Linked DNA regions of Rhinolophus ferrumequinum. The main gene of each other region encodes a partner of the protein of the gene in region 3 in a complex. Links are inferred from orthologs where the notes say so. Each region holds a gene or a part of one and is shown on either strand. Other genes may lie near its edges.

Region 1 (7,152 bases), on a different chromosome or scaffold from region 3:
CTGTCAAACAAGGATGGTGGTAGTACTTGTCTCGTTGGGTGTTTGGGGATTAGCTCAGCTAGGTGCCTGGCACGTGGTGAGACCTCAGAGACTATCAGGCTGGAGCAGTGAGCAGCTGGAGGACTCTTGCCCAGGTTCTGAGACTACAGGTTCAGGTTCAATCCTGGTACCAGCTAATTAGCTTCATGGAAAGAACATCTGTGTGTCACCGGCCCCGCTGGAATGGAGAATCCAGACTTCTTCTGCCCCAACCTCACCGAGGCCAGCCTGTTTCTCCCATCCTTACTCACTACGCAGCGCTCCCTACAGTGTGGGATGGGAGATGACTCTAGGTGGTAAGTGGACACCCCGTAAAATAACTGGGTCCCAGTGACAGTTCTCATCCAGCTATTCTGGTTACATCATGAGGAAGTCTCACAGAGATGCAATTTCATCTTTAACATCTGTCCTAACACTTAACAGAGAGGAAGCAGGCCTCGGCTCGGTCACTTCAGCGATCCAAGCTGGACTTCAATAACACTGCTGGGTTCTGCACCCTCACCGAAGCTGTGTCTGATCACCTTCTATTTATGGCAAAGATATTGATTTTCCATTTCCGGAGGAGAGAAGTTTTCTTTCTAAATAAATCCCTGGCAGTGGAAAGATAAATGAGATGATTTAAAGAAAATGCTGAGTACTTATGAATGAAGTGGCTTGAGGAGTGGGGGCGGGGCGCTGGGTGGAGGGAATAGTAAGCCAGATATCCCAAGGTGGTTCCTTTTGCCTGAAGTTTGGGAAATGCTCCTTTACAAGAATCCAAGGAGAGAGTGGGGATAGCCCATGGCAACCATCCTACAGCTAAAGAACCAAATCAGTCATAGCCACCTGCCGAGATTCAAGAATGTTCTCCAGTGAACACAGAAGATGGGCGAGAGCAGGCCTGCAGCCAGGACGTCCAGCCCCCCAGGGCCCCGCCCTCATTGATCGGCCAGCCGCAGCACTAGGATGGAATAAACAAGACTGCGGACAAGCCTTTCAGCCCTCGGCCAGTTCCCATCCCAGGGACCCACGAGACCCAGGGACCCACAAGACACCCTTCCGTCCTGCAGGAGCCTCCTCCACCTGAGGCTAACCAAGGTAAACCTCGAGAGCCCAGCTGGAACTGGGCTTGTGTCCTAGTTCTCTGGGACTCAGGCCTGGTCTGTCTCAACCCCCATCCCTCAGGTAGATAATAGGACTTGGGACTGTGCGGCCTGGGTGACAAGAGCAAGTGCTCCCCTTCTAGACACTGCAGGGCCTTGAGCGAAGGACACCTACCCCCTTCACAAGGACACCGGCCCTCGTGGAGTTTACATTAAAGTGGGGGAGACAGACCATGAACAAGTCAACAAATAAACTGGGGATCCAGCTAGGGAATGACAGAGTGGGGGAGGGCGGGGGGTCTGCAGACACAGTGGTCAGGGATGGCCTCTAGGGAGAGGTGATCTGTGAGCTGAAAAGGTCAGACAAGGGCAGCTCTGGGGGGGAAACATTCCAGGCAGAGGGAACAGCAAGTGCAAAGACATTGACAGGGAAGTCAGTCTGGTGCTTGCTAGGAACCGTCAGAAGGACCACATGGCTGGTGCCGAGAGGCAGGGGCGAGAGGTGCAGTGGAAGAGGCTGGCAGGGTGGGGTCCTGACCCGGGTCTCCTCTTTATCTTGACAGCAATGGGGAGCCACTGAAGGGTTTGAAGCAAGGGAGTGACGTGGTCACTTTTTTCATTATTGCTATGGCTCTTGTGCAGAAAATGGATGGGGGTAGGTCTGGAGTGGAAGCAGCGGGAGCCAGCGGGACCTCAATGGTGGTTTGGATTAGGAAGGTGGCAACTGTTTAGGAGGCAGCAGCAACAGGTCTCACTAATGAATCCCATGAGCACGAGGGAGAAAAATTATCCCTAAGTTTCCGGTGTGCGATGGTATGATGGTGCCATTTGCCATCCTGGGGAAGACAGGGGAGGAACATGTGGGAGACTTGGGATACCCTGAATTCCCTGTTGCATGTTACCTTCCAGAAGCCTCCCTCACATCCTGGGGGGGCTGTCTGTAGACAGTCGGGCAGAGTCTGGAGTTCAGAAGAAAGGTGGGAGCAGAGAATGGCCACTTGGAGGTGGCCAGCAAGTGTGTATGAAGTGGTGGATGCCCCATAAGCACCAAATGGCGGCTCATTCCTCTCCATCCCACAAGCCCTGGTCTCCCTGCGCACCCCAGGTACCTGCGGCGGCTCCAAGGCCTGGCCGGCCATGCCAGTGGTGAGAGAGGCCACCTGCAAGGCCTGCTTGCGGGCGGCCAGCAGGATCCTGCAGTAGGTGAAGCAGATAGCGCCTGAGGGCAGGAAGAAGGTGAGGCCTGATGCCACTAGGACGAAGGGCAGGCTGGCCAGCAGGCGGCACTGACCCGGGGCGGGTGCTCGCGCGCGGCCCAGCTTGTGCCAGCCCAGCAGCAGGGGCAGGAAGGAGGCGAGCGCTGCAAGGCTCCAGGCGCTCAGGACGAGCGCCAGGGCGCGTGGGGGCGTCATGCGCAACTTGTAGCGCAGCGGCGAGAGGATGAGCAGATAGCGGTCCAGGCTGATGAGGCAGAGGTTGAGGATGGAAGCGCTGCAGCACATCACGTCGAAGGCGGCCCAGAGCAGGCAGAGGTCACGCGCCAGCACCCAGCGCCCGTACAGCGCGTTCAGCATGGCCGGCGGCATCACCACCAGCCCCACCATCAGGTCCGACGTGAAGAGCGACACCAGGAAGAAGTTGGACATGTTGCGCAGCGCCCGCTGCGTGCAGATAAGCGCTATGAGCAGCGAGTTGGCCACCGCCGTCAGTGCGATAACCACACATAGCGCAGCTGCTACCCAGCCGCTGCCCGCCGGGTCCGACGCCAGCCCCGACCCCCAGTCGGGGGTGCTATTGTGGGCAGGGCCAGGCTCTGGAACCATGGGGACGGGGGATGGACTGCAGGGCGGGGAGGCCCGAGACGGGTCCTGAGGACCGGCGAGAAGCCACAGTGAGGGACCTGGAAGAGTGGAGGCTGGCGGGGCGTTGTCAGTGAGAACAGAACCCCCCCGCCCCGCCCCGCAAGGGGGGCAGGTGGGAAGAGAGGAACAGGGCGATGGGTCAACGGGCAGCGACTGGAAGAGGATGGAGAGAGGTTATCTATGGGCGTTCTCGGGTGTGGGGCAGGTACACCTGGGTCAAATGGGTAGGAAGTTTGGGAGAGGGCACTTGAGGAGGAGCAGGGTGCCTTAGCGGGAGCGAGCAGAAAGTCAGGAGGATGGGGACGCCAGAGGACTCTTGGAGGTTAGATGCGTGGAAGCAGAGCCCCTAGAAGGGGCGGTAAGGTTGGAGCGAGGGCGCCTGCCTGGGGCAAAGACCCAGGGAAGTGGGAACAACCGGCAAATGGGAGGCAAGCTCTCCCGCGGCAGGTAGGCGTGTGGGGGCGCTAGGTCCGGAGCCGTAGTGCTTGGGGTCGCAGGGTGGCGGCCCACGGGCCAGAGCTAAGCCCCCGGCGGGGAAGGCAGATCTCACAGCCAATGCAGAGGCACCCCTGGGATTGGGCGAACAAGATCCCCTGTGGCGTGTGAGGGGACGCCGTGCGGGCCGGTGGGGACTGAAGGAGCAGCGACAGCGCCTCCGCCCCCTCCCCACCCGGCCACCGCGTCGCGGGCCCGCTACCGCCGGCGTTTGGTACCTGGGGCGCTCAGCGCTGCTCCGCCGCCGGCGACTGCGGCAGGTGCCGCGGGGCTGAGAGAGGAAGAGGCGGCCGCGGGGGAGGGGAGGCAGGCGCCCAGGGAGCACGGGAGGCTCCGCTAGGGGCCGGAGCGCGCGAGGAGGAGCCGGCAGACGCTGCCAGGAGTGCGCGGTCCCCGCGCGGAGGAGCTTGCGCCCCGCCCGGTGGTGGGCGGGGAGAGCCGAGCCCCCGCCTCGCAGGTAGGCGGGGTCCCAGGACCCCAGGCCTGTGGAGGGACGATTCGGTCAGAGTGCCCCAGCAGCACCAGGTAACGTCCCGCCTGTGGTCACCTCCACGGCCCCACATACGCATCCCCAACCCACAAGTGGCAGCGGCAGCGCAGGAGGAACTTAGAGGAGGGGGCTGTGACCTATCTTTATCCAGAACTGCCCCCCCAATGTGGGGCTGCCCACCCACCACGGGGTTCACCACATTAACAGGGGGAGCCAATTGGGAGAAATTGGGCAGATAGCTTGACAGCCATATGTGTACACACACATACATACACATATGTACATATAATATATAATATATGTATACATATCATCTATAATAAACTGTATGATACTTTCTTCAAACCTTTAAACAGCAGGTTACTTCCTCAGGGTCTTCTGAGCAAAACCATCTCCCGACAGCACCAGGCCCTAAGGATGAAATTTCTGACCTGTTGGTACTCCCAGTTTAACAGAGCATGAACCGATTTGAGAAACCCCAGGCCTGGTGGGGTAGAAGCACTGCAGGTAAAGGGGTGGGGTGAGGCATCCCTGGCTGTGAGCTGGCTGTGTATCCCTTCCCCTGGCTAAGAAGAGTCTCTACTGAACACTTCACAGATTAATATTGTAAATTCCATCCATTCATTCAACAAACATTTATTGAGCACCTACTAAGTGTCAGGCACTGTTTTGACCAATTGGGACACTATAGGAACCTAAACAGAGATTCCAGCTTCATGGAATTTACATTCTAGTAGAAGGAGGCAGACAATAAACACCAAGCATAATAGATGCTTAGTAAATGAACTATATATGACATCCTGAGCTAAGGATGAGGGTAGGGTCCTGAGGCTTCAGGATGGAGAAGGGTCATTGCAGATGAATAAGAACAAGTGCTCAGTAATTAGATGTTTGCCCTGCCATATAGATAGGTCAAAAAAGGTTATTTCTGGTAATAACTCTTATTATGGGCAAGGCTCCAAATTTAAACTCTTTACAAGTTTCTCTTGAGCCCACAGAGTTTCAATTGCCTTTAGCTCGAAAGAATCTGGGTGCCACAGAGGCACATCTTGGGGCAACTTGTTCTGAACCCCTACAGCTCCCACATAGAAGGGTCCTGCTATGTGTCCCAGGGGCTTTATTATATTATTCTAACCTCTACAATAATGCTGAGAGATAGGTGTTAAACTGGGGCTCAGCGAGGCCAAGGGTCTCACCCAAGGTCACCAGCAGCAAGTGATCAAGTGGAACTGAAACTTGGGTCTACCCAACACCCAAGGCAGAGAAATCTCAAGACCCTACAGCACCCCTCACCCACCCGAGCCAATATTTGACTCTCAGAGCCCCAGTCTTGCCCACAAATGGGTCTGTGCAGCAGAAAGTGGAACCTATTGTCCCTTCTAATACCACCTGCACCACCATGACAATTTCTGTTGTGCCCCAAGGAACCGCGTGTAGTATACCAAGCTCGGGCTGAAAATCCTAAAGACCACACTTGGGATCCCCTTTCTGCTGCTTACCAGCTCAGTGGACTTAGGACCAGCCCCTCGATCTCCCTGGGTCACCATTTTCTCATATGCAATAGTTAGCAGAACAATACAGCACTGCAGGGACTCTGCTCCCGCTCCGAGCACCAGAACACAGGATATGGTGAGGCCAGAAAGGAACACCCACGGAGCCATAGATAGGGGAGTCATACCACTATATTCTCGCTGGCGGCTGGTGGAGACACAGGAAGCAGGAGCCACACGATGCACAATCTGCCGGCCGCTTCTCTGCCAACCAACCCACCAACGTAGCCACGGCAATTATATCAATGGCTAATGGCTAACCGGTAACAGCTGATGGCCAACTAGTCACAGCTGATGGCCATCTACTACCCAAGCCAGCATCTTTCCACGTGAGGCCGAGAGCCTGGAAACTGCTCTCTGGGACTCTGTCCCCACAAGCACCCATCTCACAGGGTTGTTGAGGGGATGAAATGACCTTGGTGTAATCTGTAAACTTCACAGTGCTGTGTTATTACTAGCTGTTGGCCTCAGTGTTCCCATCTGTACAATGGGAATGCATTCAGCTCTGTGGAAATTCCTGTAACGCAGGGATTCCTGGTTGAACAACAGCAAACCCGAGAGGTGCCGTGTACTTTGGAGCCCAGTGACCTGAGTTCATAACCCAGATTCTGCTCCTCGCTCTATGCACTTGGCAAAGCCTCTTAAGTTCTCTACTACTATAAAAAACTAGAGTAATGAAGATGTGACTAGAATGAGTATTTAAACCATTTCACACAGAGGAGCTGCCTGATAAATTTTAGTTTTGAACCATTTGTGACAACATGGATGGATCTTGAGATTATAATACTAAGCAAAATAAGTCAGACAGAAAAAGCAGAGAACCATATGATTTCACTGATATGTGGTATATAAATCAAAAACAACAAAAGAACAAGACAAACAAATGAGAAACAAAAACTCATAGACACAGACAATAGTTTAGTGGTTACCAGAGGGTAATGGGGCTGGGGGGTGGGAGATGAGGGTAAGGGGGATCAAATATATGGTGATGGAAGGAGAACTGAATCTGGGTGGTGAACACACAATATAGTTTATAGATGATGTCATACAGAAATGTACACCTGAAATCTATGTAATTTTACTAACAATTGTCACCCCAATAAACTTTAATTAAAAAAAAGTTTAGTTTTGAAAAATTGGTGGTATATAGTGGGATAGAATATTAGTCCCTCTGCTTTAACTTTTGCTGTCAAGTTTGATAGCCTTTATTTTTTTTAAGACCTAAAGAAGACAAGACAAAAATGTTAATGTTTGTTCATTCTGGGTGATAGACTCACTGATGTTTGTTACATTATGATCTATATTTTACTATATAATTAAAAAATAATTTTTCCCCAAAATCATTGGCCTGGGGAGTGGTGCCACCTTGTGGCCACACTATTATCTTGAGTTTAAGAACTTTTCTGAAGTCCCGTGTGGACCTAAATTTATCTTTTCTGTCATGGATTGATAATGTCCTAGACTTCCTTAACATTTCAAGGTAGAGAGGGACCATCAAGGATGGTTGGCCTTTGCTTGCTTACTTCTAGCTACAGGCTGTTCTCTCCCTAGAGGAGAAGGGTGGTGACACAATGGGACAGCTGAGTCTTAGGAAGTCCTCTGCCCCAGGCCTCCATTTCTGTCAGTACATAGAG
Region 2 (7,004 bases), on a different chromosome or scaffold from region 3:
ATTCTACATCATGAAACCTCCTTTTTCCTTCAAACATGTATCAGATTACTCATTCATGTCCTAGGCTGTAAGTTCCATGAAGGCAGAAACCATGTTTATCTTCTTCCATACTTAACTCCCTGTACACATAAGGGCTAAGTAGGTGTGTATTAAATAATCATACTGTACCATGTTGTGACTGTGTACATGTTTGTCCATCCCACTGGTCTGTGAGATCCTCAAGAGCTCCCTACTCTATCATATTAAGTATCTATTTGTCGATTGTTCTCTCCCCCATCAGAATGGAAGCTCCATGAAGAAGGCAGGGATTTTTGTTCATTGCTGTATCTTCTGCGCCTAGAACAATGCCTGTCAAATGGTAGATGTTCAATAAGTATTTATTGAATGTTGACAATGCAAGGATGTGGCCAGATCATCTCTCTGTCCATAGCACCCACTTCAACCCAAGCCCAGGGAAACTGTCAGTGAATATTGGCTGAATGAATGAATGGGGCTTTGCTAAGAAAGTGTGCAATGACGATGCCCAGATTCTCGGGGCTTGGACAAGGAGCTTGTGTGGGTCTTATCTGTGTCCCTCACACACAAACCTCCCTTGAGAGCCTAGGCCCATGGGATTCCCTAGAAGAGAGAGAGAGAGAAGAGAGAAGGAAAGAAGTCATACCTGGAAGTGAATGCTCACAGCCATCTGGTGGACACCTGGGGAACTGCAGGTATTGTCAGCCTTAGTCAAATGTCACTCCCAGCCCCTTCTGGGGAGATGGTGACATCTAGGCTAGAATAGAAGGCACACTGGACTTGGTTACAGATAGACCTGGCTTCAGATCCCAGCTCTGTCATGTACTGTGTGATTTGGGGCAATTCATTCGGCTTCTCTGGGCTTCACCTATGAAATGGGGATGAATGGGTTGTTGTAAGCCCTGAGGTTTGGCACCAGGTAGGAGGGAAGGATAGGAGAAGGTGTCAATGGTGCGAACAAACAAGAAGGTAGGGCAGAGGGCATGAGGAGGAGAGAAGAAGAGAAAGGGCTGCCCCTTTCTCTAGACAGCAGATCTGTGGGGAAGAGAGACCTGGTTGGCAGTGACAACTTCCAGTGTCCTGTTGGCATGGGCAGTTTTTGAGCACGAGAGAGAGTGTGCACATGAAAATCTATAGCTCTCTTGAATCTATTGGATCTAAAGGTTTCTCAGGGTTGGAATGTCACTGTACTCTTCCTCCCTGGTTGCCTGAAGATTGACCTCCATCACGAATCACCCAGGAACTATCTGGATCAGGAGTTCTGGCCAACCAACTATTTCCATGGAAACATGGTCATCAATGTCCTTCTCTCTGGAAAGGCAACAGTACGTAAGACAGAAATTTGGTGAAAAATAACCAAAATGTACAAAACCACACCAGATATCATCTTCATATTTGGAATTAGAACCCATTTTGGTGCTGGTAAAACGACTGACTTTGACATAAATTATGATTCCTTGGATCATGCAAATTAAAATGAACCCAAACACAAGCTCGGCCTCCAAGAGATGAAAAAGATCTCAAAAAGAATGTGAGAACAGAATGAAGGTCAGGATGATGGCAAAGGCCAATGTTGGTGCAAAAAGAAATGAAGATTCTGCAATGACTTCATCTGTGGTAATTGTGCCGATTTTTCATGAGAGGATTAATAACATGAAAAATTTAAAAAAAGAACTATCACTGCCACTCAGACTAGCAGAAGATAGTTTCTTATACACCTCTTTCATGCCCACCTCCCAGCAGCCTTCATTTATCTCTAAGACCCACTGGACAGTTGTTGGGACCCAGCTCTGATGGGGGAGAAAGTGGAGACCTGAACACCCCTGTATTCTCTCTCTTTGATGACCCCACCTTCCTTGACACCTAACATACTACTACTTGTTTTCCTTCTCTTTCTCTAGATGCTGCTTGTTAGTTTAATTTTTTTATCCAGTCAACAAATACTTGTTGAACACCTACTACATACTATGTGCTGAAAGAGAGTGCTAATCTAGGATAGAGGTCAGGGAAGCCTGCTTCAGAACAAGTGACTTGGGTGCAAAGACCTTAACGACAGGGCTCAAAGCAGAGGCAACAGCCAGTGCAAAGGCCCGGGAATAGGAGCACTCTCATCCACAGTCTGTCCCCTTAATGGGGGTGTTCCCAGAGGCTCCTCCTCACTCCCTGAGGCTCCTGTTCCCTCCCCTGGGTGATGTCACTTACCCTAGAACCCCAGTTACTGCCTGCATACCTATGCCTCCTGGCTGTCCTTCTCCTGTCAGATATACTGTTGGTAGCCTCCCGCCAGTGCCAGGCCCCTCCCGACAATCCTATAAGGTAGATACTAACGTTACCCCTATCTTATTGGTGAGAAAATAGGCACAAAGAACCTAATATACTCACCCAAAGTCACACAGCTAGGAAATGGAGGAATTGGGGATCGAATCCAGTCTACGCTCCTGACCACCTCCATCGGCTAAGCACCCCAAACTCCAACCTGATGTGTAGAGATCATCTTCTCTACGTTGGCCCTCTTTTCTTCCCAAGTACTCTGCCACCCGCCTGTCACCTCTTTCCCCCGGCCCCACACTAACTGTGGGAACTGCAGTGGTGCTGTGTTGGGGGAGAAGTGAGTGGGGCCTAGGATCTGAGCCCCCCCCCCCCGGTTTCCTCAAGTCCTAACCTGATCCCTGGCCCCCACCCCCATTCCTTGGGCCTGGATGATTCCAACAAGGATCAAAGCTAGAGACAGAGGGAGGAGGAGCAGCCAGCTCCCCTTCCCCAGGACTGGCCATGTCTGTCACATCTGGAGATGCAGGGGGATTCTCTGGGACTAAGGACAGAGCTGGGGGAAGATGGAGCTCTTTCTCCATGCCCTACCTGCCAGGATGCCCGAGATGGGAAGTTGAGAGGGGCCTGCCCTGGAACTGAGCTGCCAGGCTTTCTGCTTCCAAGTTCTTCCCAGCTTCCGATCTCCAGCTGCTTCGGGGAAGTACCCCCTCCACCCTGCTGGCTTTCCAGATCCTTGAATAAATAATTCATGTTTTGACATTTTGCCAGGCCCAACCCCTCCCATGCTGTGAGGGTGCTATTGGGCTGACATGAGTGATGTCACCCAGCTTCTTATCCCAGCCCCAGCATCACGAGGACCTGTTCTGGCAGCAACTTACCTGCCTGATCACTGTCAGTCCAAACTGCTCTGTCTCACTCATCCGGTGCCCACTCACCACAGTCACCTGGTAACTTCCTTCCAGGACCCTACAGCCCTCATCACTTAAGTAACTTGTCACCTCAGTACGTACGTCAGCTCTTGTGACACGGTCATGGTGACACAAAGTCCCATCACCTGCACACTCCATCTTCCCTTGCCATCCTCTCTGCCACCCTGTGATCTCTGAACCCCATCATGCCACAGAGTCACCCTGACACTGCTATAGTTGCTCTAGGGGCTTCCCTCTGTATGACAGCGTCCTTCAGCCACCATCCCCCAAGATCCAGTCACCATGCTCATACCGTCACTGCCACCCACCTCCATGCTCCCTCGTACTCCTGTCACCGTCACCTCAGGGCCCCATCTTCTTGACAACCTCAGTCATCCTCACCGGGGACGCCCATTCAACCCCATCACATGGTCTCAGTCTCCTGAATTTCGTCAGCCTGTCTCTGCCTCCAAGGGTCCCATCACCCCACTGCCTATCCGGGTCCCCTTCCTGCTACCTCGCTACACCTTCTGCATCCTCTCTGAGACTTTTCCAAGGCTCTCCCACCTGCGCCCCCGAAACCCCTGGCCCGCAGAGGGCGCCGCGTCAAGGACAGGGCGGGCCGAGTCGGGAGGGGCGGAGCCGCGGCTACGGTCGCTTTTTATGAATGGGGGAGCGGGCGGTGCGAGGCCTTATTACTAAGCCTCTCGACGCGCGCTGCGTCCCAGCGCGACGTGCCCATTGGTTAACCGAGCCTCTGACGTCACCGAACCGGTGGCCGGGGGCGGGGCGGGGTGACTCACGCCGCTTCTCCCGCGGCCGCGGGGGCTTCTCCGGGTCCGCTCACACCCTGAGCTGCCCGGACCCGAGTGGAACCTTCCCGCGCGGCCCGGCCGCGCCCGGTCCCAAGAGGTGAGTAGCGGTCCCCGCCTCGGGCACTAGGCGTCCGGAAGGGCACGTAGAATGCTGGGGCGCAGGGCCAGCGGTCAGGCTCCCAGCGGCGGGCCAGGGTCGGAGGTCAATAGCTGGAACCCAGATTCTGGGCTAGCAGGCGGGGACCCAGGTCTGGGTGCTGACCGCATCAGTGGGGTGACCCAGCGGAGGTGGAGCAGTCCTTCAGAGACCCAGGGCTCTGGAGGGGCTGACGGTCATCCGAGGTTGGGCTGGCAGGAGACGGCTGGAACGGACCCAGGCGTCCGAGCTGGAGGAGGTGTCTGACTTAGGGATACAGACATCCCGGCAGGAGGCGGAGTCAGGCCCAAGATTCAGGTATCCGGGCCGAAGGAGGGGTCTGACTTAGGGTTCCAGGCTTCTAGCAGGAGGTGTCTATTCCAAAGACCCAGAGGTTCAGACAGAAAGAGGATCTGGCCGGGGACAGAAGTCTGGGCGGGTGTGTGTTGGGGGTGCTGAGTTCCCAGGTGTTGTTACCCCAGGAGTGCAGGGTGGGGGCGGGCGGGAGCTTCACGCGCACTCCCTGGGGGCGGAGCCTGAGGCTGGCATTGCTGACAATCGTGCGGGGTCTGGCGAGCCTCAGAAACTGAGCATCCTCCTCCCGGATGGGTATGGAGCAGAGCTGCTCTCAGTTCTAAGATGTGTTTCCCTTCCTCAGTCCTGGCCTTTCCCAGCATCTCCTGGATCTTACAGGCCTCCATCCACTTATGTTAGTCCTTCATCTTGTTCTCCTCTTGTCACACACGTGAGAGAAAGAGGCCTACAGGACCCAGAGAGTTGGAAGGGAGATGAAGAGTCCCACCGAGGACAGGAATCCCCAGGAAAAGAGACCTGAGCTTTTCTTTGGGCATGAGAGAGGACAAAGGTATCCTGGAAGGAGCCCTGGAGCATGCGTGCAGGATAAGGCATCAGGACCCAGCCAAGTATCTTGAGGAGAGACTCCCACCAAGTATCCAGAGAGGGACCTCAGCCCCTACAGATCCCTCTGCCCAGCACCCAGCCCTGCCAGCTTCTCATAGGGTCTTTCTCCTACAGATACCATGATGTGGGGTGCAGGCAGCCCCCTGGCTTGGCTCTCTGCTGGCCCAGGGAACGTGAATATGAGCAGCGTGGGTTCAGCAGAGGGACCCACAGGACCAGCTGCACCTCTTCCTTCACCCAGAGCCTGGGATGTGGTGCTGTGCATCTCAGGCACCCTGGTGTCCTGCGAGAACGCACTGGTGGTGGCCATCATTGTGGGCACTCCTGCCTTCCGTGCCCCCATGTTCCTGCTGGTGGGCAGCCTGGCTGTTGCAGACCTGCTGGCAGGCCTGGGCCTCGTCCTGCACTTTGCTGCTGTCTTCTGCATTGGCTCCGCAGAGATGAGCCTGGTGCTGGTTGGCGTCCTGGCGATGGCCTTTACTGCCAGCATTGGCAGCCTACTGGCCATCACTGTAGATCGGTACCTTTCTCTGTACAATGCCCTCACCTACTACTCAGAGACAACGGTGACGCGGACCTATGTGATGCTGGCCCTCGTGTGGGGGGCTGCGCTGGGCCTGGGGCTGCTGCCTGTGCTGGCTTGGAACTGCCTGGACTCCCAGGCCACGTGCGGCGTGGTATATCCACTCTCCAAGAACCATCTGGTGATCCTGGCCATTGCCTTCTTCATGGTGTTTGGCATCATGCTGCAGCTCTATGCCCAGATCTGCCGCATCGTCTGCCGCCATGCCCAGCAGATTGCCCTCCAGCGGCACCTGCTGCCTGCCTCCCACTACGTGGCCACCCGCAAGGGCATTGCCACACTGGCTGTGGTGCTTGGCGCCTTTGCTGCCTGCTGGCTGCCCTTCACCGTCTACTGCCTGCTGGGCGATGCCTATTCCTCACCCCTCTACACCTATCTCACTCTGCTCCCCGCCACCTACAACTCCATGATCAACCCCATCATCTACGCCTTCCGCAACCAGGACGTGCAGAAGGTGCTGTGGGCCATCTGCTGTTCCTGTTCCTCTTCCAAGATCCCCTTCCGATCCCGTTCCCCCAGTGACGTCTAGTCACTTCACACCCTGGTGACCAGGATGTTAGGTCCTCCAGGGTTTTGTTCTAAGCCCCCAGCTCCACACCCCAAAGACCCAGCTGGTTCTGGGTGTTTCACAGGATTCTCTTCAGATCCCTGCAGGGCCCAGCTGGCTCTATGGTTCTAGAATGTTCAAGTGGTCAGGGTTCCACTCAGAAATGTCCCACAGCCCAGCTGGTTTGGAGTTCCAGAACACTGCTGGCTGTTTTACAGTGCCATTCCAAGTCCCTGGTCTTCCCCCTCCCTTGAACTTGACCATGTCACCTGACTTTTGAGTTTCTGAGCTAGAGTCAGAGAGGTTAGCCACTCAGTTCCCTAGACAGGGGAAAGAGAAAAAGATTTATCTATATCTATATATGTATATATGTGCACTTACAAAGAGAGTATCTAGTTATGATTTATCTATTTATTTATTTATGGGTATGAGGGGAAAAAAAGAGACCCCCACCTTGAAATCCAGGCCATACCAGGGTATCCCCAGTCCCCACACCCACATTTCTGACCTCAGTTCCTAGAGGGGGGAAAGGGAGAAAGAGAAATCATGTATTTTGTTATTATTTTTGCTTATTTTTTATTGAAGAGATCATAGAAACCAGAGCCTTCTCCCTAGGCCTGCCCCTCTAGGGTTTCAGTGGGGGAACACACCAGCCTCTGGTTTTTTATTTTTTTAAGAAGCCATCACCTGAGCAACCGAGAATTCCTCTGCGCTGGGGGCTGGCTGCCCTCTGGTGGCGGTTTGGGGGAAACTGCAGCCTGGCCAGGCAGCCAGGACCAAGACGTGGCAACCCCAACTCCACTCCAGC
Region 3 (7,752 bases):
TGATTGGCTTACCTCGGGCTCTTCCCTAGGAAAAAAATTATTTCATGTTTTAAAAACATAGCCACGCCCACCCCCTCGGAACAAGCCTGGCGTGGTTTTTGGATCCAGACTTGCTTTACTGCAGGTTATGCGTTTTTTCCCCCTCATCCCTCCATCCCCCCCACCAGGTGAGCCGAATGTGTGCAGAATACCGAACTCGTGTGTGCAGCCCGGGACGCCCCAGATACCTGAGTGTCTGGTTTTTCAACCGTAAAGGCGGGAGAGTTTGGCGAACGAATGAGAAGTGAGGAAACGCTTAGCGCAACGGGAAAAAAGAGAGAAAGACATACAGAAAAAAAGGTTATGGAGGCCAGCGGGAAGCGGCCCCCTCTCCCCCCAGCCAGTTGCCCAACATATTACCCCGATGTCCCACCACCTTTTCTCCGCATTTTTCGCGCCGCCCGCTGCAGAGCGCCAGCTCACAGGAACCACCAGAGTATGCGAACACGGAAAGTTTTTGCCCGCGCCATGGCGCACAACACAAGACAGCCCATTCCCCAGTACAAGTACACAGTCGGCGGGTAATTTGGGGGTGCCAGGGATGGGAACTGGGAGACACTTGAGCATATCATGCACAGGCGGACACAATATGGACACCAACACACACCAACAAGCTGTCTGAGTCCAAGCAGCCGTGCCAGGCGAGGCGAGGCGGGGCGCACCTTCCCCACGACCCCAGCCCACCACGGCCCCAACAAGCCTAGCCTGGGGAGCCCCGAGGCCCCTCCCCGGTAGTTCCTGGCTCACCTGAAGCCCCCGCCTTCCTTGCCGGCCCCCACCCCAGGACTCGGGGTCGTCTTACGGTCGCTGGCGCTGGCTTGTCCAGCTGGAAACGACCCTCAGTGTTGTACGGCACCACTTTTCTCCCTGGAGGGCACATACTTCGGCCACCCAAGCCCACCCGAGCCCACCCCCCTCCCGGGGCAGAGTTAGGGCCCCTCACTGGAACTTTCTAGCAGGCTATTCCCGCCTTTGCCCAGACCCCCTCCTCCCGCCGCCAGGCCCGAGCCCCACCGGGCAGCCCTGCCACCCCCTCCCGGGTTCCCCGGCGGCCCTGCTGCCCGCGGGCAGAGTCCGCCGCATTACCTAGAAGCAGCAGGCGGTGCGTACACATGTAACCCATCTTTTCGTCCTGTAGTTGCTTGTCGATGAGCTTGCTGCGTTTCTTCTCTGCGCGCTTCTGAGCACGCTGCTCCAGGGCTTCCTTGCGGATCTGTCTGCGCTTCTCCGCCAGAGGAATCTTCTTGACCTTGGGGCTGCGTGGGGCTTTGGGCTCGGCGCTCTCAGATCGGCCGAAGCAGCCCCCGAAGGCTTGCATGAGGAAGTTGCGGAGCAAGTTGCGCCGGGGCTTTCGGCGGCGGCGATTTCTCCGGGGCTGCACGCAGCGATGGCATCCGAAGGTCCCATCGTCGGATTCATCGCTGCTGCGGTCGTCGCTGCTGACCGACCCCTCGTCGTCGTCGCGGCCGCGGCTGCGCTCAGACCTGCCCCGCCAGGCATACGCGCGAGGAGGCTGCGGAGTAGGCGGATCGGCAGCCTGGATCTCGGGGCTGGGGGGTCTAAGGAAACGGAGCTTGGGGCGGGCTCCGGAGGCAGGGGCCGCAGGGGCTGCCCGGGCAGCAGGAGCGGCTGGGGCGGCAGGGGCTGCCCCGGTGGCTGGCGCGTCAGAGGCGGCTGGAGCGGCTGGGGCTGTCCCGGCGGTTGGAGCGGCTGGGGCTGTCCCGGCGTCTGGCGCGTCAGGGGCGGCTGGAGCGGCCCCGGTGGCAGCAGAGGCAGGGGCGGCTGGAGCGTCCCCAGTGGCAGGAGCTCCGTCGCCCGGAGAGGGGACTTGGCCTCCGTCCGCAGCAGCAGCGGTTGAGCTTCCTTCCATCTCGGCTGCTTCTCCCTCAACTGGGGGTCTCTCTCCCTCTGCTCGCTCTCTCTTAACTGGGGCTCGGGAGACCTCGATGGGCGGGCCATCAAGCGCGATTGGGGGGCTGTCCATGTTGACGGGAGCGTCGTCGACCCCAACGGGGGCGCTACCAATCTCGAGCGGGGGTCCGGGGATCTCCATCGGGGGGCTGTCGCCAGCGAAGTGCGGAGGAGGTCTGACAGCTTCTCGGGATGGGCTGCCGATGGCGATGGCGCCTGGGACCCAGAGGGGGGGCTCGCTCGTGGCGGGAGCGAGGAGGACCGCACTCGGCACCGCAACTCCCGTGAACTGGCTGCTGCTACCGCCGTCGATTTGTAGGATAGCTCGGGGGAGCCCAGGGGGTGGGCTGTCGTCCCCAAAGGCTGCTCCATCAAACTCAAATGGCATAGCCTCCTCAGGGGGAGGGCTGCAGCCTCCTCTGAAGCCTGCATTCGCAGGCCTGAGGGCTTGGGGCTCCTCAGAAGGGGTGCTGTGGACCCCCACACCTGGGCCTCCTGGAGCGAGGTCTGAGACCTGCAGGAGAGGTTGGCAGCAATCTCCCTGGGCAGGTTGCTCAAACTCAAAGGGCATGGCTTCTTCGGGTGGAGGGCTGTAGCTTCCCAGGCCTGGCCTGGCCTCACAGAAGGCTCTGGGCTCCACGAGCGCTGAGTTGAAAGCCTCGAGGCCTGCATGGGCCCCACTGGTGTCTCCAGGCTGCTCCAGGGTAGGCCAGAAGCTTCCCAAGCTGGGCTGCTTGACCTCGAAGGGCATGGCTTCCTCAGGAGGTGGGCTGTAGCCTCCATGGGCTCCGGCTTCCTCGATGGCCTGGCCGAGGCCTTGGAGGTTGGGCCTGGAGACCTCTGGGGGTCCACATGCCTCGCCTTCAATCTCGATGGGGACGGGCTCGCTGTTAGGCGGTTGGGTCTCCATCTCTTCGGCTGCGCTAGGCCCAGCACTGGGGGCAGCTGCCCCTGGGGCCTCCAAAGATGGTTGCTCGGACTGCTCCCCGAGTTCAAGGGGGATATCGCGTTGTCCTGACATATTATTGCCGTCGAGGCAGTTGCACACGCCCATAACACGGTGGCGAACTCTTAAAATAAACTTGGGGCCCCGTAAGACGGAGCACCCAACCGAACTAGGGTGAAAAAAATATCTTAAAAAAAAATCAAAGTACCAGCCAGAAAGTTCTCCAACCTCACTTTCCAACCCTCCTGAGGTCTAGGGGTTCAGGGCCTCAAACCTTAGACTGTGGCAGAAGCAACTCTATTGTTGCTGGTGGAGTGTTGGCTTCTTCTTGGCCACTTTTTATCCCCTCAGGCAGCCCCTGGCCCCCCCTTGGCCTGCCCTTGTCCCCTCCTCTCTCTCTTTCTCTCTCTGTGTTCCAGGCCAGCCCCGCCTGCTTGGATCTGAGGAGCGTGTCGATTCGGTCCGAAAATCGCTCGTAGTGCTCTCTTTCTGCCACCAGGGGACGCCGGCTGGTGGCCAGGCGGCTCTGGGAGCCGGTTCCTGGCGCCGGGAGCCCCGGACTTTGGGTAAGGGGGCTGTTGAGCTCAGGCCCCGCTGGGACGTTTTGGCTCTTTCCACTGCTCTCCCTGACTGATTTGGAGTCTTTCTCCTCTCTTCTCCCCTGGCCAGAGAGAGAGCCTTCTCCTGCGTTGCGGGACACGTGACGCAAGACGTGGGCCCCGGGCTGCTTGAGCGCAGGAGCTGAAACCCTCCCTCCCAGACCCAACTGACTCTCCTTGGGGGAGGGGGAATTGCATGATGTTTTCCTCACCCCAAGTTACCCCTGAACACCTGAGCCGCAGCCCCCAGCCTTGGGCAGCCTTCGATCCTGAGCCCCAAATCCAGAGCGCAAAGCTTTGGGCGCATGGGAAAGGGGTGTCAGCATGCACGAGGATGCGACAGGTGGTCGTGAGCCCACTTTCAGAGAGGACAGGAGGCGAGGGGCGAGGTGATGCCGTGTGCGCACACAATTGGTGTTCTAAATGCCTTAGTGTACTTTCCATCGCTTCTGCAGCTTTTGTTTTCCGGCTTGCCGAGGTTGGCTCCTGTAAAGCACTTCAATGTCCCCCGTACCCACCATGCTCTGGGGGGAGGAGGGGGGGTCTTCGCAGGAGCTTTGAATGGCGCAGGCTGGATTCTCCCGATTTACGTGGACGATGATTCAGGGAAATAGAGGGTCTCGGGCGCATACCACGGAGACCCTCTAATTGGTAGCCACCGCGGCACATAACGGGGGGGGGGGGGCGCGGGATGCGCATGGGGACCCCACAGAGTGCAGGCCTCAGAGTTCCGGGGCTCCTACTGCTCTGGGGCAGGGTTAAAGGAGATTTCAGTTGGGGTTAATGGCTGATTTAGAGTGGTCTCAGAGACTGGTCAACCATTTGCGCACTGAACCCAAAGACACATCGTGCCCTGCTGTGCCGTGCTGTGCCAGCAACCGCGGCCGCGGTGCGCTGTTTCCTGCCTCGGGCGCCGGCTGCAGGGTCGATCAGTTTGTTCCTTCCGTTAGCTCCTCTCTAGCCCCCTCCCAGCCCCTCTTCTCTCGCTATGAGTCTCCCGAGGCAGCCGCTTTACTTTCCAACTGCTGTAGCCCGCCGAGGTGGCACTAAGCTCTGCTAAAAACCCAGCGGCCGCCCTGCTGCGCTCCCGTCTCCGTAGCGCGTGGTGGGCTCAGAGCTAGTGGGGGTAAATACCCACACTACCTGGGTGGGCTTGACGCGTGCGCGCGCACTGCTCTGGCTCTGGGGTCTGCAGTAGGATTTGAGCCCAGGAAAATTTTGCTGCTTGCGGATCACGTAAAACCCGGGACATGGGTATCAGGTCTGTCTCGCCAGCAGGTGACACAGACCTGAGAGCCACCTTTAGGCGCGAGGCAGCTGGGCAGGGGCAGGTGGACACCTGGCTTACGGGCGGGCAGCCCGGCGGATGAGTGTACCAGTGGATGGGCTGCGGCAAGCGAGGCACACCGCCTGGATCGCTGTATCTACGAGCCGCAGGCGGGTGAACCACGCATGATCCAATCTCATTAAGTGTAACACGTCTCTTTCAGAACGAGACCACATCCACAGCGCAGCACTGCCCCCGCGTCTGCCAACCGTGTTGCCGCGCTGCACAGAGAAAAACTGACAAAGTTGGACCCTGGGTAACGTTTGAGGTCCCTCAAAGGTGTATCACCTCAGCTCTTTGGACCTACACACTTCCAAATGCCAACACTGAACTTTAGTTCAAACTTTGGCCAACTATACCCACGCGTAACGGCTCAACCATTTGGGCATCCACTGAATGGGCCAACTGGGTCTCCTCAGTCAATTCACTCCCCTCCGACCCCAGCACTGGGTCAGCCATTGGGTTGGGGTCACGCCAATCAATGCTGCCTGGCGAATGAGCAGGGGGCGTCGGACCGGAAACCGGATATGAGTGGGAGGTCCAATAGGGGGCGCCGCGTTAGAACGTCCTAAGAGATTGTGCTGCTGGGGTAGTTGGAAGCGGTCGGTGGGCCGGCGTATGGCGGCCAAGCGTGGGACGCCACGAGGCCGGCTGGCGCCGGGCGGTCACTCTTCCTGACTCCAAAACTCACAAATGCTGGAAAGATAATTGAGGGTTCTTAGGGGCCAACCCAGGGTCTCACTGATGGCGGTGGGCAAACACACCCAATACCCGGGACCGCCGCCGGGGCAAGGAGGCTTTCCAGGGCCTGGAGATAGAGGGCCAGGACCCTGAAGAAAGAGGGGGCTTACTGCTCCGAGGCAGACGAGCAGCCCCAGATGGATAAGGAGTTGAGGCCCCAGGGATGCTGAGCTCTGCCGAAGTGGAAGGTCAGTAGACGTTGGGGTTGGAGCCCCAGGGAGGCCGTGATGGGGGCCCCAAAGGGACGGTTTGCTCTCGCCAGGCCTCGCGCTTGGCCCACTTCACTGGGGCTCTTTCCCAAAGCACTGTTGTTCAATGAACGGGTACCGGGTCTCTGACATCCCCGTAGGCCTGTGGGACCCCTTTGTCCAACACACACTTTCTGGTATCTTGGTTCTTTGCCAGGAGAGCACATGCATTGAGGGGAGTTAAGACTGGGCAGATAGATACCAACCCTCCATTCTAAAGGGTAAGCAACATAGAATGAAAGACCTCCAGTTGGGGGGATCTTGAAAGTCTTGATGGAGAAAGTGGCATTTCAAATGTGCCTCCATGGAGGGACAGAAGGTTTGGCTATGAATAGAACGTGGCGGGGATAGGAGATGTTGGCTGACCATGAACGAAGATGCTAGGAAACAGAGCTGGGTAAAGAGAATAGGACACTGTGTCAGGTCTTGGAGGACCAGTGGGAGAGAAGTCATGAAAAATTGGATAGGATCTCTCCAAGAATACTATGGCATATCAGAACAACAAGTTTTGAGGCTATTTATGTTGGAAATGGAGGTGTTGATGGTTTTTCAACACCTGCAGGTGAGAATTTGAGGCTAGTTTTAGGAGAGGTTAAGGCAGTATGGAGGATGGTCCTGATGAGAAAAAAAGGGGCTGTGGCTGGTCATAACCTTTAAGGGAGGGAGAACCACACATAGTAAAGGAAGCAGGAAGGCCGAAGAGAGGGGCTCGAGGGATCCTAAAGGACCCTCTAGCAACTTCTGTGCTAAAATGGCACAAAAAGTGGAGGAGACAGAATTTGGCACCTGGGTGATGGGACACGTGTGGGAGGATCTGGGGAGGAGTTGGCATGGTGGCGGAGCCATTTGGTTTTAGACATGGCAGAGGTGAAGGAAGGATGGGCAGTCTGGATGGAGAGCTTTACAGCCTGTTACTTAGGATGGGTCTGAAGTTCAGAAGAAAGATGACAACCCCAAGATCAAAGTGACGGTCATCCTCATTAAGATGAAATCGTTGGATGAGAAACACCCTCAAGGGGAGAAACAGATTTGGTGACAGAATCTTGAACACTTGGGGGTACTAGAGAGGACATCACAGAAGAGAGCAGTGGGGCTAGGAAGAGACCCATAGGCTCAGACCAGAGGGAAGAATTTAAGAATCGGTCAGCAGATCTCGTCTTAAAGGAGCTTCCTTAGCCTCTGCACTGCTGACCTTGGGGACAGGTGATGCTTTAGTGTGACTGCCTGTGCACTGTAGGATGCTTAGCAGCATCCCTAGCTTCTACCCACTAGATGCCAGTAGCATCCCCTTAGTTGTAGCAACCAAAAATGTCGCTAGACTTTGCCATATGTCCTCTGGGGGGCAAAATCGCCCCCCAGTTGAAACCACTGCTATAGTCTGAGGAAGGACCCTGTAGACTTGAGTAGGAATCACCTTAATTTAAAGGTAAATTAGGACCAGAAGAAAAAATTCCAGTACTTAACTCTGATGGTCCTTTTGTCTGCTTCTGTTTATTTTTTCTGCAGTGACTGGCCCCCCAGAATCTGAGAACCCCAAATCTCTTGGGTGAGTGAAACTCCACCGCAGATCAGCAGTGCGACTTTAGAGACCCCCTGAGCATGGCCAGATGTTTGAGGAGCTGATTAACCAGAAAGGCAGCTGGGTGGCCTGGCCACGGGACTCAAGGAATCTGGCATGGTAAGAGCTGGGGTTGATCAGCTGGTGGGCTGCTGGGGCCACTCTGATTGGGGGGCCTGCCTGGGGAGCCCGCTCAGGGCTGGTGATCTTGTTGGCCTAAGACAGATGGACTTGGCTGGGGATGAGTGGCTGTGGGCAGCCTAGGCCGGGTCTAACCCCGCTAGGGACATAGTTTCTAGGATCTGCCGTTGTAGTTTTATAGTAGCCAAGTACGTTAAGCACCGATTTCCAATTCTGGGTGGTTTTCTATCAGGGAAAGAGGT
Region 4 (7,046 bases), on a different chromosome or scaffold from region 3:
TCTGGTTACTGGAGTTATAATGGAGTAAGATTAATCACAGTGAAACCTGTTAGAAATTCAGGCAAGAGGTGATGGTGACTTGGATTGAAATAGTGGCAAAAGGGATAAAGAAAGAGATACTATTTGAGAGAAATTTCAGAGGTAGAACCCTTGTTACTTGGTAGTTGAATGAATATGGTAGGTGAGGGAGAGGGAAGAATAAAAGATGAGTCAAAGAACCTCAAATTGGTTTTGGAATGATATTGCTAAAAATACATTCCCATCACCTGCACTAAAATAATGCTAATTAAATCAACATTAAAAGCTCACTTTTACTAAATAATAAGTGACAGAGAATGCTCAGAAGTGAATCTTATGGATCTGAAGAACTGAAATTGACCCTTTCTCATGTATAATATAGTTAAGCCACCGAATAGGGAGACAGATAAACATAATTTGATGTCTTTTCCCTTTTTTATTTCATGTTTCCTTTCTCTTTCTGCCTTATTTAATACCTTTTTAGTTCTGTCATTGTGTTATTTTAATTTTTTAGTATTGGGTTGAACCATATGTGTAAAAGTTGCCATTTTTATAAATTAGAAAGTATTTAACCAGAAAAGCAATGGTTAAATATTGGCAATTTCACGTTTCATCCAGTTGCATTTTTATTCTCTAAGAATTTGGGGACTCCCTGTCACAAAGACTGCCTTCCGTTCTCTAAGAATTTTTAACTGAGGCTCTGAGGGGTCATTTTGAGTTAAGTTGAGTACCAGTGACTATATGAAGGAATGTTGCTGTGATGGCATAGGGACAAGTGGAACTGAGCCCCGTTACGTAGGTGACTTAACCTGCCAGCATCCATTCAGTGCATGATGAGAGAACATCTTGTGGCCAGTTTTTTATTTTGTTAGCTTAACCCAAAGGGACATATTTTATATTATTTTGGCTGGTTTTTGAAAACTTGATCAAATAATGCATAGAAATAGTACATAGAATTTGGCAAATTCATAAAATATAGAAAGTCATAAAGAACAAAATAAAAAAATCACTTGTAATCCCACTATCCAGTGAAAAGTAGTTGAAGTTTAATGTATTTCCTTCCAGTCGTATATACACATATATGCAGAAATAGTTACTCTGTCTTTACTTAAAAAAAAATAAGTGTGTGTGTGTGTGTGTGTGTGTGTGTGTGTGTGTGTGTGTCATGAGACTTCATTATTTTATAAAGGAAATGGATGTATAGATTTTGGTGGGGACATAAATTTATTGTCCCCCCATGTCATGAATAATTTGTCTCTTCTGAAGAAAATGTTTTTATTTTTTTTTTCTATTAGGGAATATTGGGGAACAGTGTGTTTCTCCAGGGCCCATCAACTCCAAGTCATTGTTCTTCAATCTAGTTGAGTCCAGTCACCATTTTCAATCTTTAGTTGCAGGGGGCACAGCCTACCATCCCATGCGGGAATTGAACCGGCATACTTGTTGAGAGCTCGCCTTCTAACCAACTGAGCCATCTGGTCGCCCCAAGAAAAATGTTTTTCTTTAATTTAATATAAAACATTTAACTCTTGACTGGCTTGATAAAGTGTGGCTATCAGGCTATTTTTTTTAAAGTTTCCTATATGAATATTTTGATCAAAGCTCCAAGAGTGGTTTTATTGAAATAGAAACAAAGTCGGAAGAACTATTGTTGAACTAATAATAGTAAATGTAACAACTTGCAGTTTTACTGCATTTTTATTGCATTTTAATTATTTCAAGTTATCAGCCAATGTAATGTGGTTTAATTAGCATAACTGTTTTGTTTTCTTATGAGAAACCTGAGGTGTACAGATGAGTTACACGCCCCAATTCACAAGGAGTTGGAAAAGCCTGGACTCCTAACTTTGGCGAATGCTTTTTCCTCTTACTGAAATAATCACTCTCAGAAATAATTTCTTTTTTTTTTTCAGTTCAATATTTACTAAGCACTCAAAAAATGCAAATTCAAAAATAAAGTCTATGCAAATGTATAGAATAGTGAGTAACGTGGTTTGGCTGGAGGACAAGGTGTGTGGGGGGCTATAGAATAGTGGTACCAGATTGGAAAGGCAATAGGGAGCCATAGACTTCTTCTACACTGGAGTACCATGCTTAATAAAGTACGTGCTACTGGTACTCAGTCAGGCAGAAACGGATTAGAAAGTGAATAAGCCAAGCCGATATTGAATGATGGCCTAAAATAAGGTATTCAAAACTGAAAGAGGAAGTGAATTTGAGAGCTGCTGTAGAAATAGTTTCCCAGGACTTGGTGACTAAGAACAGTACATCTAGGGAGAGAGTGGTCAAGATGATTCCTAAGTTTCTTTCCTGAGTGCCTGGGGAAATGTTGGGAAAAACAGGAGAGGCTTATTTGGTGGAGAAAATGTGTTTAATTTTGGGTGCTGCGGTTGAAGTCTCTACAGGACATCCAGGTGGAAAATGTGTGACCGGCAAGCAAATTGTAGATGGAAAGGGGAGTTCATGGGTGAAGTCAGGGCTGGAGACACAGGCTGACTAATTATTTGTGTAGAGGGAATAATTGATGCCATATCATCCCTACCTTCACTAGCCTTCGTGTATTTGAGGAATGCATGACAGTAAAATATCTAAATAATTGTTGTATGCCTTAGAACTGGGCAGTCACAAATAAGAGAGGGCACTTTAGGATTCAGAGGAGCCCTGCCTCAAGCAATGCAACATGATTGGTAGGAAAACAAGTTGTTTTAATTGTATGAGAAGAAAGTGAGTAAAGTTGTATCCTCCCTATGTGCTAAGTATTGCTAAGCCTTTTGTACAGACTGTCTCCTCTATTTCTTAATAACCTCATGAAATAGGCAGTTATGACCCTCATTTCTCAGATGGTGAAACTAGGGCTGAGAGAGGCTAAGTAATTTTAGAGCAAAGATTTGAATCACGTGGGAGTTCAATGCCATGGGTCTTTTTACTGTGCCACACTTTGCTGTGTTTTCTAGTAATACCTGTCAAATATGGCTATCAAACTTATACTCAATAGGTTTTTGAGTTTCTTGCCTTTGTGTGATGAACATAGTGCTTCAGATCTTAAAATGCAGTTAATGGGAATTCTGATTATGGGTGGCCATTTGCCTGCAATGAGAAAGCATGTGTATGAAACAAATAAAAAACAAAAGTTGGATCACATAACATATATCTCCACCCAGGTTTGTAGACATTCTGCAATACTTACAAATACCAGCATTTGTTTATTTTCTTTTACTCTGCTGGGTCGGGGGAACTTTATTTAGAAGGATGAATTGAGAGTCCAGTGACACCTAGAGGAAAAGATAACTGAAAATACACATTTTCTAATTAGCTGAAAATTGTCATCATTTATGGCATTACCAGAAGAGCAGACAGTATTATTCCAGTTTGCATTGTTATTAAGTAGGCACAAACAAGATTGTGTATTCTGAGATACATTCAAGCCCGGTGGAAATGGGCACCTTCACTTTTCCATTTTTTGTTTATATGTTTGCTTCTCAGCAAACTAGAAACCAGAAGTGGCATCTCAAAAATATAGGATAGTATTAAATACCGAAGCAATGTAATTCCTCTTTTCTCTATGTGTACTATTTCTGCAGTATTCAAAATAGGTGAAATTTTCTTTATATTTCTCTTGAAAAACTGATTTTTAAGTTTGCTTTGGTATTTTGGTCATCTTTCTTAATATTGGCCAATATCCAGTGGATCATGAGAGAAAATTAATGCTGAATATTTAGCCTTTCTAGCTAGAACTTCTTGTGCGGCTGAATTCCGATCCCTCACTTGCCATGCATTGTTAACATTGTTCTTTGTTCCTTGGGAAAATGCAACAAGAAAATAGGAATTTCCTTTCACCATTACCCCTCTGGCAGTGTGTTTCAATCTAATTCCTAGCTGGCACTCTGTCCCAGTTACTACCCCTTCTCCTTACTAGCAGTCTGAATTCTTAAAAAGGGGATTCCAGACAGACGAGGAAACAGCTTTCAAACACTGCACTGCAGGCGTATTAAGTTATTCCCCCACTGTGCAGTCTGGAAGTCGGGGAGTGCCTCTCTGTGATGAATTCTAATGAGCTACTAAGGGTGCCCGAGTGTGTGCGCGGACAGGCTTTTTCTTTCCCCTCCCCCTGCGTCTTCCTTTTCCCAAGCCCCCTCGTCTCCCTGTTTCCCCTCCTACTCCTTTATCCCCTCCCTCTGTGTCTCAGTTCTGCAGTAAACGGGGCTGAGGCACATTCCTGCTTTGCAAGGCTTTCTGTTAAGGATGTTCTGTCGCTTTTGTTTGGATTGCAGCATGCAGAATTACAGGTAACACTCTGAAATTTAGCTAGACAGACAAATGCTGTTGAAATGTTTTCAAAGAGGCAAAATATTACATGGGAATCGATGAAAATAAGTTATTTTAGCTAATTTTATTAGTAGTAACTATGGTAAAATGTTTTCAGAAACGCTATAAGCAGATTCCTTTTCTACCCCAAAGGCTCCAGTGAAAGGAAAAGAGGGGTCGATTGATCTGACTGTGATTGATTTTGTTTTATGTTGATCATGAAAGCTTGCTGGTGCTGTGCCACCTCTGTAGAGTAAGGACCAGTTATGTGGGGTGCTACTGAGGGGAGCCATGAATAGTTGTACTGAGTGGGCTGGGATGGAGTGGCAGGAGTGATAGCAGCCTGAGCTAGCCAGAGTCTTTGATTCTTGCATTGGGATGCAGAATATAAAACGCTCTCTCCTTTTCTTCTATCAGCTGTTCAGAGGAGACTCATTACTGCAGCAGTTCCTAATCCTCCTCCCTTCTCCTCTGCCCCTGCCCCTACCCTCACTGGCCTGAAGACCTTGTGCCCAGAATTTGACTTGCTTCCCTGGCACTATGTGTCTGGTAAACTTGACACTATGGCCGTGTCTGGGACTGGCTATACAACTGCTGCTGGCTCTGCCTCTTCCAAGGAAGTAAAGGGGGATTGCGCTGCAGGCAACGCACCAGAGCAGCAGCATCGCGAGCCTGGGCGTTATTACAAACAGAGCTGACCGCAATGACAGCCGCTGCTCCTTTGAACTGTTGGCAGCAGCCAAGCGGCAGCATGAAGTGAGAGATCACTCCTGAGCTCAAGATGAACTCCACCTTGGATGGTAATCAGAGCAGCCGCCCTTTTTGCCTCTTGGCATTTGGCTATTCAGAAACTGTCAATTTTTGCCTTTTGGAAGTGTTGATTATTGTCTTTCTGACTGTATTGATTATTTCTGGCAACATCATCGTGATTTTTGTGTTTCACTGTGCACCTTTGTTAAACCACCACACTACAAGTTATTTTATCCAGACTATGGCATATGCTGACCTTTTGGTTGGAGTCAGCTGCCTGGTCCCTTCCTTATCGCTCCTCCACTACCCTCTCCCGGTGGAGGAGTCCTTGACTTGCCAGGTGTTTGGTTTTGTAGTATCGGTTCTGAAGAGTGTCTCTATGACCTCTCTGGCCTGTATCAGCATCGATAGATACATTGCCATCACCAAACCTTTAACCTATAACACCCTGGTCACACCCTGGAGACTACGCCTGTGTATTTTCCTGATTTGGCTGTATTCCGCCTTGGTCTTCCTGCCTTCCTTTTTCCACTGGGGCAAACCTGGATATCATGGAGATGTGTTTCGGTGGTGTGCGGAGGCCTGGCACACCGACCCCCACTTCACCCTGTTCATCGTCATGATGTCATATGCCCCCGCAGCCCTCATTGTCTGCTTCACCTACTTCAACATCTTCCGCATCTGTCAGCAGCACACAAAGGAAATCAGCGAAAGGCAAGCCCGGTTCAGCAGCCAGAGTGGGGAGACTGGGGAGGTGCAGGCCTGTCCCGATAAGCGCTACGCCATGGTCCTATTCCGGATCACTAGTGTGTTTTATATCCTCTGGTTGCCATACATCATCTACTTCTTGTTGGAGAGCTCCACTGGCCACAGCAACCGCTTCGCATCCTTCTTCACCACCTGGCTTGCTATTAGTAACAGTTTCTGCAACTGTGTCATTTATAGTCTCTCCAACAGTGTCTTCCAAAGGGGACTGAAACGTCTCTCGGGGGCCATGTGTATTTCTTGTGCAAGTCAGACTATAACTAAGGACCCATACACAGTTAGGAGCAAAGGCCCCCCTAATGGATGCCATGTCTGAAGTGGTTCAGATACTGGGTCAGTGTGTGTGTGTGTGTGTGTGTGTGTGTGTGTGTGTGTGTGTGTGTGTGTGTGTCCATCCTTTTTATCTGTCTTCCTGTTCACTAGAAAATCTGGAATAAAATAATTGACTCTAAGCAATAGCAAACAAATGACCCATCCAAAAAGCCTTCTAAGTTTGCAGAAATGATTTTCTAAGAAGAGCTTTTGAATGAGAAGAATCAGGACCATGAAGATAAATTGCTCTTGGTTCCAATTTTTGTAATGTCATGGAAATGACTACAGTTCTCAGATTTAAAATGAATAAAGCCATATCCAACACCTCTCTCCAGCTGGCATGACTGAACCTGAGTGTGAAAAGCGTCAGCATTTTAAAAAGTCATCGTTTTCTTGTTGCTTTTCTGGGTTCTTTCCAGTTGTGTGGGCTTCAAATGCAATTGATTTAACAGGGACGATTAAAATACAGTGATGAATTAATTAACAGGGTTTTTAAATTTTATTTATGTATGCCAAAGTGTAACTACACTGCAAGTTTCAGCACTGTCATTTAGGAAACCAAATGTTTTATGTCTTATTCTCTTGAGAGAAGTCTCAATACAGTGAATAATGTGGACACTTAAAACGTTAATTTTAGAATTTTGCAATGAACCATGATACAAAAGTACAGTCAAATATTAGACAATTTATGAGAAACCAAGCTTCTTTTTGTGCTATGCTTCATGGAGATTTAAAGAAATGTGTGCATAGAAAATGATTCTGTTACAGTATTTTTACCCGTGCCTTTGTGTATGTGTGTGTTGAGAATATTTTAATTGAGACAGATTTCTCTTTTACAGCAAAATGTACACTTAACTAGTTCATTTTTAAAATAGAGATTGAGGTCTTCTCTTGTG

Evidence for each region.
Region 1: the proteins of GNAS (region 3) and HTR6 are in contact, whole or in part, in a cryo-EM structure (PDB 7YS6), measured with the Homo sapiens proteins. The link is inferred for Rhinolophus ferrumequinum from reciprocal best matches to the Homo sapiens genes GNAS and HTR6. Residues at the interface, in NP_000507.1 of Homo sapiens: Arg38, Ala39, His41, Asp215, Lys216, Val217, Phe219, Leu346, Thr350, Tyr358, Cys359, Phe376, Arg380, Asp381, Ile383, Gln384, Arg385, His387, Leu388, Arg389, Gln390, Tyr391, Glu392, Leu393, Leu394; in NP_000862.1 of Homo sapiens: Arg124, Leu127, Ile128, Pro131, Leu132, Arg133, Lys135, Leu136, Ile211, Gln218, Gln221, Val222, Leu225, Thr226, Lys265, Ala266, Thr269, Leu270, Phe323, Met324, Arg325, Asp326, Lys328.
Region 2: the proteins of GNAS (region 3) and GPR3 are in contact, whole or in part, in a cryo-EM structure (PDB 9LYB), measured with the Homo sapiens proteins. The link is inferred for Rhinolophus ferrumequinum from reciprocal best matches to the Homo sapiens genes GNAS and GPR3. Residues at the interface, in NP_000507.1 of Homo sapiens: Gln35, Arg38, Ala39, His41, Val217, Phe219, Asp323, Asp343, Leu346, Thr350, Tyr358, Cys359, Phe376, Cys379, Arg380, Asp381, Ile383, Gln384, Arg385, Met386, His387, Leu388, Gln390, Tyr391, Glu392, Leu393, Leu394; in NP_005272.1 of Homo sapiens: Met75, Arg134, Ser137, Leu138, Tyr139, Ala141, Leu142, Tyr144, Tyr145, Glu147, Ile216, Ile219, Val220, Arg222, His223, Gln226, Ile227, Leu229, Gln230, Arg231, His232, Lys244, Gly245, Thr248, Arg300.
Region 4: the proteins of GNAS (region 3) and GPR21 are in contact, whole or in part, in a cryo-EM structure (PDB 8HMV), measured with the Homo sapiens proteins. The link is inferred for Rhinolophus ferrumequinum from reciprocal best matches to the Homo sapiens genes GNAS and GPR21. Residues at the interface, in NP_000507.1 of Homo sapiens: Gln35, Arg38, His41, Val217, Pro321, Asp323, Arg342, Asp343, Leu346, Arg347, Thr350, Tyr358, Cys359, Pro361, Phe376, Cys379, Arg380, Asp381, Ile383, Gln384, Arg385, His387, Leu388, Gln390, Tyr391, Glu392, Leu393, Leu394; in NP_005285.1 of Homo sapiens: His61, His62, Thr64, Arg127, Ala130, Ile131, Thr132, Pro134, Leu135, Thr136, Tyr137, Asn138, Thr142, Pro143, Ile214, Ile217, Cys218, His221, Thr222, Asp224, Ile225, Arg228, Gln229, Arg231, Phe232, Arg249, Tyr250, Val253, Leu254, Asn308.

The regions. Positions count from the first base shown.
Region 1 is NC_046292.1:13,238,972-13,246,123, reverse strand, and holds the start of HTR6 (5-hydroxytryptamine receptor 6), read right to left. Parts: upstream 3,018-7,152; 5' UTR 2,945-3,017; coding exon 2,231-2,944; intron 1-2,230. UniProt on the Homo sapiens protein: G-protein coupled receptor for 5-hydroxytryptamine (serotonin), a biogenic hormone that functions as a neurotransmitter, a hormone and a mitogen. Also has a high affinity for tricyclic psychotropic drugs.
Region 2 is NC_046292.1:18,762,276-18,769,279, forward strand, and holds the start of GPR3 (G-protein coupled receptor 3), read left to right. Parts: upstream 1-3,996; 5' UTR 3,997-4,106; intron 4,107-5,180; 5' UTR 5,181-5,185; coding exon 5,186-6,178; 3' UTR 6,179-7,004. Other genes in the region: CD164L2 (CD164 sialomucin-like 2 protein), read right to left, coding at 2,875-3,018, 3,597-3,609. UniProt on the Homo sapiens protein: Constitutively active G-protein coupled receptor that maintains high 3'-5'-cyclic adenosine monophosphate (cAMP) levels that a plays a role in serveral processes including meiotic arrest in oocytes or neuronal development via activation of numerous intracellular signaling pathways.
Region 3 is NC_046306.1:3,450,991-3,458,742, forward strand, and holds the start of GNAS (guanine nucleotide-binding protein G(s) subunit alpha isoforms XLas), read right to left. Parts: upstream 3,005-7,752; coding exon 1,126-3,004; intron 907-1,125; coding exon 787-906; intron 1-786. UniProt on the Homo sapiens protein: Guanine nucleotide-binding proteins (G proteins) function as transducers in numerous signaling pathways controlled by G protein-coupled receptors (GPCRs).
Region 4 is NC_046295.1:73,154,910-73,161,955, forward strand, and holds the start of GPR21 (probable G-protein coupled receptor 21), read left to right. Parts: upstream 1-4,043; 5' UTR 4,044-4,304; intron 4,305-4,740; 5' UTR 4,741-5,104; coding exon 5,105-6,154; 3' UTR 6,155-7,046. UniProt on the Homo sapiens protein: Orphan receptor.